Drosophila melanogaster: one gene and its partners. The protein of the gene in region 2 purifies or fractionates together with the protein of the main gene of each other region. This does not show direct contact. Each region holds a gene or a part of one and is shown on either strand. Other genes may lie near its edges. The genes, in order: Arl8, Mec2 and CG13220.

Region 1 (3,756 bases), on a different chromosome or scaffold from region 2:
CGAATGTTGAATTAACCACTGCAGCGTGATGTCAATGTTGTCCTTCTCCTTGCAGGAAATACTATAACAGCAGATTTCACGGTCCTGTATGCTCGATAGATTCCTGCAATTTATTTTAAATGATTAATTTATAATTTTTAAATAGTTTTAACAATTTTAAGGCGCTCACATTCGTTCGATGAGTCCGGTTTCATCGAGAGCGCCTGGAAGATCTCGTTTATTGCCCAGCACGAGAACTGGAATGCCGGCGAGCTGCGGTTTGTCCAACAGTGAGTGCAGCTCGTTCCTCGAGGCCTCTAATTTGTCCAGATCGGCTGCGTCCACCATGTAGCTGTTGATTAATACATTACAGTGTTACTTGACTACCGATTGTTGCTTAAGTATCATTATTGCTTACACAATCGCATTAACGCCGCGACAATAGCGCTCCCACATGGATCGGAATCGAGGTTGGCCTCCGATGTCCCACACCTTGATAGTCACATTGCCTCTGGTGATCTTGCGCATGTTGAATCCAACTGTGGGTATCATGTCCTCAGCGAATTGGCCGGACTACAAGAAACAAAAATAATTAGTAAGTAATCGTGTCTTAAATAAAATACAACTTTTATATTAGCAAAGAACAAAGCCTAGAAGTATGCAATCCAAAATAATGTAAAACTCGTGTAAAAAATTGATTTTTTACACATGACAGCATCCAAAACCTTAAAAAATTTGTTATTCTTTTTGAAAATGCTCTTAAATAAATAACTATTGTAATATCTTAAAGTATTGATCAAACAATGTCTTTTGGTACTAAATTTAATTCAACATACAACACTTAAATTGATAATTGATTCTAACCCATAAATCTTTGTTCTGTATCAGCATCAATCACCTTACATATGCATTCAATAAGAGAATCGAAAGCTCCTAAAATGGCAAGATGTTACTTCTGTGACTTAGTTTAAATTAAAAAGGTATACTATAGGTTAGCAGTCGCTAGTGAAATGGGAAAAGTGACTAATTGGCGCCACCCACAAGTTTGTTTTCATTCCGAACCTGAACATTACACTAATGCACGAATCTGAATGCAAACACGGAATTGGAGTCTAATAGCAGTGATAAGCAGGGGAATATTTCCGTTTCGGGAGCACTTGAACAAACAAATTTCCCGTAGATGCGGGCAGACATTTGAATCGAATTCACATGACTCATAATAAGTCAGGCGGTCACAAAGGCAGTAGTTACTCCACCTCCCGCAACGACTGGCAAGTGTATGCAACTATCTACGAGTTCCAGTAAATGGTAACTTGAGATCGTCGCATTATCAGCGTGCAGAAATGTGTGAAAAAAACCAGGGAGGCGGTACGGGAATACGGGGTCAGGGGTTGAAGTGCTGATAATGGCGTCATTGTGCGGAGAAACATGCGTATATATGGGCTATATGTAGGTTTATTGATTACAGCGGCAGGAACGGTAAACTTTACCACTAAAAGGAAACGGTTAGCACAGCGTTAATTACGGATGCAGTGAAAGAAACTGGGAGTACGAAAAGATAAGAAATAAACAATGTTAGAGTGGGGGAATCAAGCTAAGACCAATTCCTTTGTCACTGGGGGTTTGTAATGCTTTTTAAGTAGTAGCTGATCCCCCGGCTTTCCGTGAACCCCCTCCCCACCCACACAACAGACAACCACACACAAAAAAAACCACCCTCTCACCCATACACCCACACGAATTCGCACACACCCACTGCGAAAATACTCACTGCAATAACATTGACGAACGTCGTCTTCCCGGAGAACTGCAGCCCCACTAGCGTGAGTTCCATCTCCTCTTTCCAGAAGATGCTCTTGAACCACTCGAGGATCCTGTTGATGAGGGCCAACATCCTGGGGCAGGTGTGTTTCTGGTCGGGATCTGCTTGAAATTCGCGAAAAAAGGTTTCCTTTTCCAAAGAGCGTAAATGTTGTCGTGAAAAAACAACTGGGCAGGTCAGTGTGGCCAAGTGCGCGGTAGTGTACTTAGTAGTATTCGTAGTGAATGGTAATCGTTTATTTCAGCATGTATCCAATTAAGAGAAAATAAAATTCATATGGTATATATATATTAAGTACAAATAAATAATATTATGTCTTCGGGTTTCATCGGGAATATTATTAATAAATTGCATTTAAAATATATGTGAAATCGCTACTGGACAATATTTACTGTACTTGCTATCGATAACGTGTAACCGATTTCCGTATAGTTCGCTGTGACTGGCAATTAAGGCAGAAGAAGTTAGTAAACAAAATGGTAAGATGATGTGAAAATTTTATTAATTTTAATTAAATGAATAATACATGTATATTTTCAGGCGCGCAATGCAGAGAAGGCAATGTAAGTAACCCGGATATACGTATAACATAAGATTTCCAGCACTCATCCGCTTATTTTCGACAGGACAACTTTGGCACGTTGGCGGGCCGCAAAAGAAGTGGAATCTGGTGAAAAGGAACGCCGGCCCTATTTGGCCTCCGAGTGCCACGATTTGCCCAGATGTGAGAAGTTCCGCCTGGAGATAATACGCGACATATCGAAGAAGGTGGCCCAGATACAGAATGGTACCTATTTCGGTTTATTTATTTCTCCCTAACAATATACACTAATAGCGACCACTTATAGCTGGCTTGGGAGAATTCCGGATTCGCGATCTGAACGATGAAATCAACAAGTTATTGCGTGAGAAACGGCATTGGGAAAATCAGATATCCTCATTGGGTGGCCCCCACTATAGACGCTATGGTCCCAAGATGTTCGATGCGGAGGGCCGTGAAGTTCCCGGCAATCGAGGCTACAAATACTTTGGAGCCGCCAAGGATCTGCCGGGTGTTCGCGAGCTCTTTGAACAGGATCCTCCGCCGCCACCCAGGAAATCACGCGCTGAACTAATGAAGGACATAGATGCCGAATACTACGGCTATCGAGATGACGAAGATGGTGTTCTGATCCCTCTGGAGGAACGCATCGAACGAGCGGCCATTCAGAAGGCCGTGCAGGAATGGCGGGAGAAAATGGCCAGAGATGGTCGCATAATCGATGACGAAGAGGAGGATGAAATATATCCCCTTTCGGGACCAGCACGCGAAGCCATCGAGGATGCCAAGGCTCGAGCCGCCGTGGAGGATCCTCATGGCCTATTGGCATCCAAGTTCACCGCTCACGTTCCCGTGCCGACGCAACAAGATGTACAGGAAGCACTGCTGCGCCAGCGGAAACGGGAACTGCTGGAGAAATACGCCGGTGGCACTAACTAAGCTCAATAAACATTCTAAACTCTTAGTTTGATACATTTAAATCGCGTGTTCTTTTAACACGGCATGTTTTGGGTTATGATCATCTATAATTGGAATAGATAAATAGTTAAACAATTTTTGGCAAGGCACTTCAATGCGCTCTAGTCTCTTATAACTAGAAAATGTAGAATGAATCAGTATTGAAATTGATCGAAATTTCGGCGTCCGCCGCCACGTCCGCCTCCAAAACGACCACCTCTTCCTCCAAAACCGCCACCTTCAGCAGCGCGCTTGTCCTTCATGGCTTTAAAGCGTCTAGCCATGTTGTGCAGTTCGTCGGGCACTTCCTGCTCCGCCTCCTGCAGTATCTCAATTAGTTCCTTGGCCATAGCCCAATCCTCGCGCGTAAAAAAGCTTATTGATGTGCCCTGTCGGCCAGCACGTCCGGTGCGACCAACACGGTGCACATACTCCTCGATGTTGTGCGGAAAATCAT
Region 2 (3,756 bases):
AGCGGGTGAAGTGCATACAACGTACAGATGTTAAGAAATACTGATCTGATCTGATGGATGTCAAATGCCTACTAAATGGCTACTTACATCTCAACGCGCTCCACCATGACGCCCCACGGCTCGGTGGCCTCGTCCAACGTGGCCTGCATATTGTGGGCCAGGGTTTCGCGCTCGGTTAGCAGTTCGGACAGGTTGCGAGTGCCGACGATATTTCGGAGCGTGGTGGCCGCCAGGAGGCGAGTGGACATGCTGTAGTCCTCGACCTGGATGACCGCATAAAGGGGATCACTGATGCGATAGTAGACAACGGCGTCCACAGTGACCGTCACGGAATCCTTCGTCAGCATCTCCTGCTGCGGCACATTGAAGGTAACCGTGCGCAGGTCCACCTTGCGGTACTCATCGATGCACGGCAGGATGAAGAACATGCCGGGACCACGAGCTCCGCCGCTCAGTCTGCCCAGCCGGAAGATGATCGCCCGCTCGTACTCCGCCACCACCTTGAAGCATATGAAGATGGCGATGGGCGATGTGATGATGAAGATCAGCACGGAGAACAGGGTGACCACCCATTCCATGCAGCCCTTGGGCTCGTTCTCCGCTGCAATGGGATGTTAGGAATATGAATATGAAATATTCATCTACAAAATGGCCATATTTCAGGCATATGTGTACAATAATTGTGCCGCAAGAGAAACGTAGATAAGTCCACTTCAATTCGATGGCCAAGATGAAGTACCTTCTTTGTCCGGATTCCGAAGAGACCAACTTATTATTAAGTAAAACAGGACTATGATGGACTATGTAACAACTTGAAAAAGAGAAAGCTGTGAAAAGCAATAGCCATCACAATCAAAAAAAAGAAAACACGGATAAACACCAATCAGCCCGCTTATCTTGGAGTCCAATAAAAATTCCTACGATTAAAAATATAGACAGGTGTAATATATATGCGCCAATACAATTAGAATGTTGTAGCAATTGACGATTATGTGGGATTACGATGGAAATCAAATTGCTACTAGTACTACTTTGATAAAGCGAGAGATAGTTTGTATTTTTAGAACTCCTATCTAGTGAATACTATTAACCGAATCAAGCGGTTTTGCATGTCTGAAATATTGTAGAATGCTTTGAGCCAAAAACAAACTTTTCACGCGATCAAAATGCTGTTGCAATCTTATCTGAACCAGCGATTCCAAGAAATCGTATCTCAATCGATCTAAAGTGATTAGCGCTTGACAGTAAGCAAAGACTTGTTTTTTTTTAACAATAATAATTCTCCTAATATTGGCCGGGATGGGTCATCATCTTGCTGCATCTATAGTATACACCGTTTCCGCCCGCTTACAAGTTTTGAATCCACGATACTGCTGCGTGGTGCCGGGCACTCGAAGTGCCGGCTCGGGTGCCATGCCGGCGGCGCCCATGTTGACCATGTACGCCGTGGAGCTGGCCGGCCCAGAGTTGCGCATATCTTCGTAGTTGGCGTACACGGGCGAATCCTGGTGCGGCTCCATTGCTGTTTCTCTGCTCCGTTCTGGCCTACGTTCGTTGCTCTCCGATCGGCTATGGATTCGAAACTGTCGCCAGCGGTCAGCGCCGCAAAAGCCAAACTGAATGCCCAAAAGCGTTCTCACGTGATAAGAGCGCACTGGTTCTCTCAGATACGAAGTATCGCATTGGCATTATCGCTACGCTGAGCTGCCGAGCGGCTTAAATGCGATTCAACAGTGAGAGAAAAGAAGCACTGCACTGAAACACCACGAACCAAGTGTGCCGCCACTGAAAGAGGCGATCTCTAGTCCGTACATCCTCCACAGCAATTGAGCACATGCCATATAAGAGAATGTAATGGAATGGAATGTAAATGCATCGGCTCGTAAATTTTCGTTCAGTGTAGTGTATCTACGACCGGGGAAACACCAAGAGCCGCTCTGTAAGTCGAGAGCCATGGGTCACCACGGATGATTCACTGCACTGCGCCGAAAGAATTGCCAACTGGAGGCGTACACTTTCAGATTATTCCGACCGACGATCAATGAAAGCCGAGTAAGCTCTATCTGGCCCAAGTGCGTTTAGCACTTTAATCAATCGGTTATCTCAGCTGGAGCATTGAGACGCAGTTCTGCTTTGGGGTCACGGGTCATTGGCTGGAGCCACCCGATGGTGACTCAATTCTGATCTGGCGGTCACATTAGCACTGAAGAGCTTATCTGCCACACTCGCTGAAGTGGCATGCAAATCTGAGTTATTTAGATAAGCGAAGAGCAAATATGTACATACATATATATATATCATATATAAATGTAAATTTTGTTGTTTCGAAAAAGGGGGAAGAACTGAAAAAAAAAATGTGTTTTCTGAATCATTTGGTTTATTTAAATGGTTAGCTTTTACCCTGGTTTGTAGTTAGCTATTGTTATTAATTCTTAAGATACAAACAAATAATATTGGTTATTTTAAATATAACGTCTCTACTTAAAACGACTGTGAATGAAGAAGGAAAAGCCTTGGAAAAGCCTCAGTTACTATTGCATACTAAATTCGACATATTAGAATAAATTCTAAAAAAAAAAAATTTATTTTTAAGTCCGAACCATGTTTGAATCTCTCCAGAATCTAGGGAATTCCATGGCACTTTCATTCGAATTCATTGGTGACTCATTTTCCGGATTTTCCGGACAGTTCCGCTTTCTGTCGCTGCTGCCGCCGTTCCACTAGAGCAAGAAACCCACGATGTCGTCATCGTCATCCGCCGCTCCCGCTGCAGCCGCTCCGCTTCGCTGTTGCTTCTGCTGACGCTGCAGCTCGCAGCGATGCAGTGCCTCCAGATATGGTTGCAGCACCGACATCGAGCGTCACTGGTGGTGTTGGTGCGGGTGTCGATGGAGTGGCGTGCCAGGAGCCGCAGGATGTTGTTGTTGTTGGTGCTGATGCTGCTGCTGTTGCTGTTGCAGCTGCTGCTGGTGTTGCAGTTGCAGCTGCTGCGAGTGTGCTTGGGTATTCAGGAAGGGCGTGAGCAGCTCCATGGGCAGCGGGAAGATGATGGTCGAATTCTTCTCGGTTGAAATGCTGCTCAGTGTTTGCAAGTATCGCAACTAAGTAGAGAAGAAGATGGAACGAATGAAACCATTTGGGCCAGTTCCAAATGTCCGATGGTTGGATTCAGATGGAAGAAGATGACTCACCTGCAGGGCGGATGGACTGGCCGAGATGATCTCGGAAGCCTCGCGCAGAGCCCTCGACGACTTCATCTCGCCCTCGGCGGCAATGACCTTGGCCCGCGCCTCCCTCGCTGCCTCCGCCTCGGCGGCCATCGCCCGCTGGAGGGCAGTTGGCAAGGATACGTCCTTGCTGCAAGCGGATCATGGATAGAGTGGATCATGTCATGATCACATCACGACTTTCGGCAGTTGGCTACTCACATCTCCACGCGCTCCACCTTAACGCCCCAGGGATCGGTGGCCTCGTCCAGGGACATCTGCATGGTGTGCGAGATGGTCTCGCGTTCGGTCAGCAGCTCGGACAGATTCCTGGTGCCGAGCACATTGCGCAGCGTGGTGGCCGCCAGGAGACTCGTCGAATGGCTGTAATTGTACACCTGGATGACCGCCTTGAGGGGATCGCTGATGCGGTAGTAGACAACCGCATCTACCGTCACAGTAACCGAGTCCTTGGAGAGCACCTCCTGCGGCGGCACGTCAAAGGAGACGGTGCGCAGATCCACCGGATAGTAGTCGTCCACGCAGGGCA
Region 3 (3,472 bases), on a different chromosome or scaffold from region 2:
TCTCTGCACAGCGGCAGCAGCGAGTTCCTCCCTTTTCTGGAGGTGCCCGCATTAGATGCTGTGCGAATAAGCAACCTTTTGTAAATGCAATATGTATTCATAACTAAGTTGATTCGAATTTTTTGCAGCGCGAAAATCATTTCCTTTTGAAGACAACCGTTGCAACGATTTTCAATGATTTTTTTTAGTATATATAATGGTATATATATATATATACATACTGATTTATTGATAGTTAAGTCCGACCATTGAGCGTTTGTAAAGTATGTATACAAGAATTAAAAATAAGTTTAAAGTGTATAATTCGCAATACAAAAAGAATATATTTACCATAAAGTAGTCGTCAATTCAAAGTCGCCAAGGCAATTTGTAGAATGTTTTAATCCGACAAGAATGTACATATTGGCGTTTCCGATTAGATGTTTTTATATAAACGAAGTAACCATTTATAAAGGTAACGCATATACCACACATACATAACATAAATTAAAACAATTCAATTGTTAAGCATTACTAGCAGTTAAGAGACGGCAATTAAAGGTACATTTAATTTAAAATAAACGCAAACATTTTCAATCTACACCCGGCATTATCCATCTCTTGACACAGCAAAACACACCGCTCAGTCGGGTTTATAGTATAATTTTATTCAAATATGCGGGAGATAATATTGCATTACGAGCTATGTACGGCCAAGACAGCAATTACAGTACGAACCCACTTTTGGGTTCGAATACCTCAGTCCTATATCGTATCGATCAGATCATCTAGTTCTTCTGCAGCTTATCCACGTCCTGAATGTAATCAGTGCCGACCTTCACGATGGCGGCGCCAGTTCCCAAGCCCGCCAGGGTCGCCAGCAGTGCATTGTCCTGTGGCAGGGCGGACTTGATGAGCGCCCAGGCCAGAACGGATCCCATGGAGAATAGGGTGGCGCCCAGCAGGGCGTACGCACCTCGCTTGTTGTTCTTCACGTCCTTCAGGTGGGGCCTGCCGTAAATGTAGAAGGCACTGCCCACCACCGCGGAGATGAGGAACACGTTCGTCAGGTCCTTCTTGGGCAGGATTTTGGGCACGATCTGGGGGTTCATAACATTCACCGCAAGGGCTCCGTAGCTCACCAGGCCGTGCAGCGGTATGTAGTAGTTGAACACATTATCCCGGGTGAAGGGCTTGAGGCCCACTTTGTCGCATATGCTGCAGGCGTCTTTTGACTGTGTCCCGGCCATTATTATCGGTGAAAATGCAATTAAGTTTTTGGATCCCGGTGAGGTCGACGAGTCTTCTTCTTCTTGTTATGTAAAGAATAGGGCTGCCAGGTCGCGATATATGTGAAAGTTATGTCGGTCTTCGCGGACACTCTGCAGATGGTATATCACTGGTTCTAGGTAGATATGTGTATAAAGATGTAAATGTTTTGACCAATATAATATGTCAATGTCTGAGAGATCCTAATATATAAATGTACATATCTGACAGGGAGAGTACTTGTTATCAAGGGCTTTAACGCTTGGAGCGCTCATGTTAGTGGGCGTTTTGCGTATTTGCATAACATTAGCCCCGATATTTCCTGAATGTACAATTAAAAACAAATGTTATAGTTATTTTCTTGGCTGGTTTTTTAAAAATTTTCGAATTTTTAAGTTTAGTGGTTCCGGAACGAGTCACCTTTCTGAACAAGAAGTGTCAACTCTGTTGAACAGCCGGCACGGTGTGCACAACCAGGTGGCAACACCAGCCGGCGCAGGAGAATGAGTGGAGGAGTGCCTGAGAGGTGGGAGGACCGAATGGGGAGAGACAGAGAGCGAAATAGGTGCGAAAAATTTGTAGTTGCCTGGAAATTCCTCAATTTCAATTTGCAAAAAGTAAATATCAGCCGCCCCAAAGCAACGTCGATAAATGTGCGCGCCCCGCGAGCAGAGAACAACCAACGCCAGCTCCTGAAGCACTTCAGTCCAGAGATATCGCCGAGAGCCACAGTGCAGCAGATCCGTGGACGACATGTTGACGCACAAAACTTGTCAGGCACGTAAGAAAATGCAGGTGAGTGCGCCAATTGAAAACGGGAAGGAAAGCGGACACCTAAGCCCAAACTAATTCAATTAAACCGTCGGACGCCAGGTTTCCTTCGTGATACGGGACGCCGAGGAGAAACAGCACCGGAATGGCGTAAACGCTCTGCAGCTGGATGCCAATAACGGCAAGTTGTACTCCGCCGGTCGCGACGCCATAATCCGTGTGTGGAATACACGGACGGACTCCAGCGAGAAGTACATACAATCGATGGAGCACCACAACGACTGGGTCAACGACATAGTACTTTGCTGTAATGGCAGGAACCGTGAGTTGCTCCACCGATCAGTTTAGGCATTCATTCAAACATTCAATCTTTTGCACTCATAGTTATTAGCGCCAGCTGTGATACCACGGTGAAGGTGTGGAACGCCCAGAAAGGCTTCTGCATGTCCACCCTGCGGACCCATCGCGACTACGTGCAGGCGTTGGCCTACGCCAAGGATCGGGAACAGGTGGCCAGCGCTGGACTGGACAAGGCCATCTTCCTGTGGGACGTGAACACACTGACCGCGCTCACGGCGAGCAATAACACGGTTACCACCTCTAGTCTAACCGGGTCCAAGGACTCAATCTACAGCTTGGCCATGAATCCATCGGGCACCGTGATTGTGAGCGGGTCCACGGAGAATATACTGCGTATCTGGGATCCCCGCACCTGTATGCGCAGAATGAAGCTGCGAGGCCATACGGAGAACGTGCGCTGCTTGGTGGTGTCGCCCGATGGAAACCAGGTGGTGTCTGGCAGTTCCGACGGCACGATCAAGGTGTGGAACCTGGGCCAACAGCGCTGTGTTCAAACCATCCACGTGCACAAGGAGGGCGTGTGGTCGCTGCTGATGAGCGAGAACTTCCAGTACATCATCTCCGGCAGTCGGGATCGCAACATCATTGTGACCGAGATGCGGAACCCTAGTAACAAAACGCTTGTGTGCGAGGAGCAGGCGCCCGTGCTGAGTCTGGGCTACAACATCGACAAGACTGGGGTGTGGGCCACCACCTGGAACTCGGACATTCGCTGTTGGAAGCTGCCCATGTACGACAGGTGCACACTAAATTCCTCGGGCGGAATGGACGCACAATGGACACAGGGCGGCACTGAGGTGGCCTGCATAAAAGGTGGAGCCGCCATCAAGGAGTGCGCGGTGCTGAACGACAAACGTTATATCATAACCAAGGACTCACAAGATCAGGTCGTGGTGTACGATGTGCTGAGAGTTGTCAAAAAAGAGCAATTGGGCGCTGTTGATTTCGAAGCGGAGGTGAAGAAGCGTAATAAGCAGGTCTACATTCCAAACTGGTTCACTGTTGATCTGAAAACCGGGGTGAGTTAAGCTAAGCTCTATTGAAGCTTAAGTTCGTTTATACTTAATTATGCTTTGCAGATGCCAACGATTGT

Evidence for each region.
Region 1: the proteins of Mec2 (region 2) and Arl8 purify together in Drosophila melanogaster (affinity purification with mass spectrometry, with the first as the bait; one large-scale study listed by BioGRID). This does not show direct contact.
Region 3: the proteins of Mec2 (region 2) and CG13220 purify together in Drosophila melanogaster (affinity purification with mass spectrometry, with the first as the bait; one large-scale study listed by BioGRID). This does not show direct contact.

Annotation. Positions count from the first base shown.
Region 1 is NT_033777.3:8,124,837-8,128,592, reverse strand, and holds the start of Arl8 (ADP ribosylation factor-like 8), read right to left. Parts: upstream 1,989-3,756; 5' UTR 1,874-1,988; coding exon 1,751-1,873; intron 553-1,750; coding exon 398-552; intron 332-397; coding exon 170-331; intron 104-169; coding exon 1-103. Other genes in the region: CG9667 (uncharacterized protein), read left to right, coding at 2,278-2,280, 2,342-2,364, 2,428-2,588, 2,650-3,281; CG7878 (uncharacterized protein), read right to left, coding at 3,455-3,756. UniProt on the Drosophila melanogaster protein: Required for normal functioning of the late endocytic pathway including lysosome motility and late endosome-lysosome fusion. Not required for the delivery of lysosomal membrane protein-containing vesicles to late endosomes.
Region 2 is NC_004354.4:19,185,879-19,189,634, reverse strand, and holds the start of Mec2 (Mec2), read right to left. Parts: upstream 1,601-3,756; 5' UTR 1,521-1,600; coding exon 1,352-1,520; intron 602-1,351; coding exon 88-601; intron 1-87. Other genes in the region: CG33253 (uncharacterized protein), read right to left, coding at 2,862-3,101, 3,192-3,357, 3,429-3,756.
Region 3 is NT_033778.4:11,282,255-11,285,726, reverse strand, and holds CG13220 (uncharacterized protein), read right to left. Parts: upstream 1,445-3,472; 5' UTR 1,230-1,444; coding exon 768-1,229; 3' UTR 629-767; downstream 1-628. Other genes in the region: CG9062 (uncharacterized protein), read left to right, coding at 2,002-2,043, 2,122-2,341, 2,404-3,398, 3,459-3,472.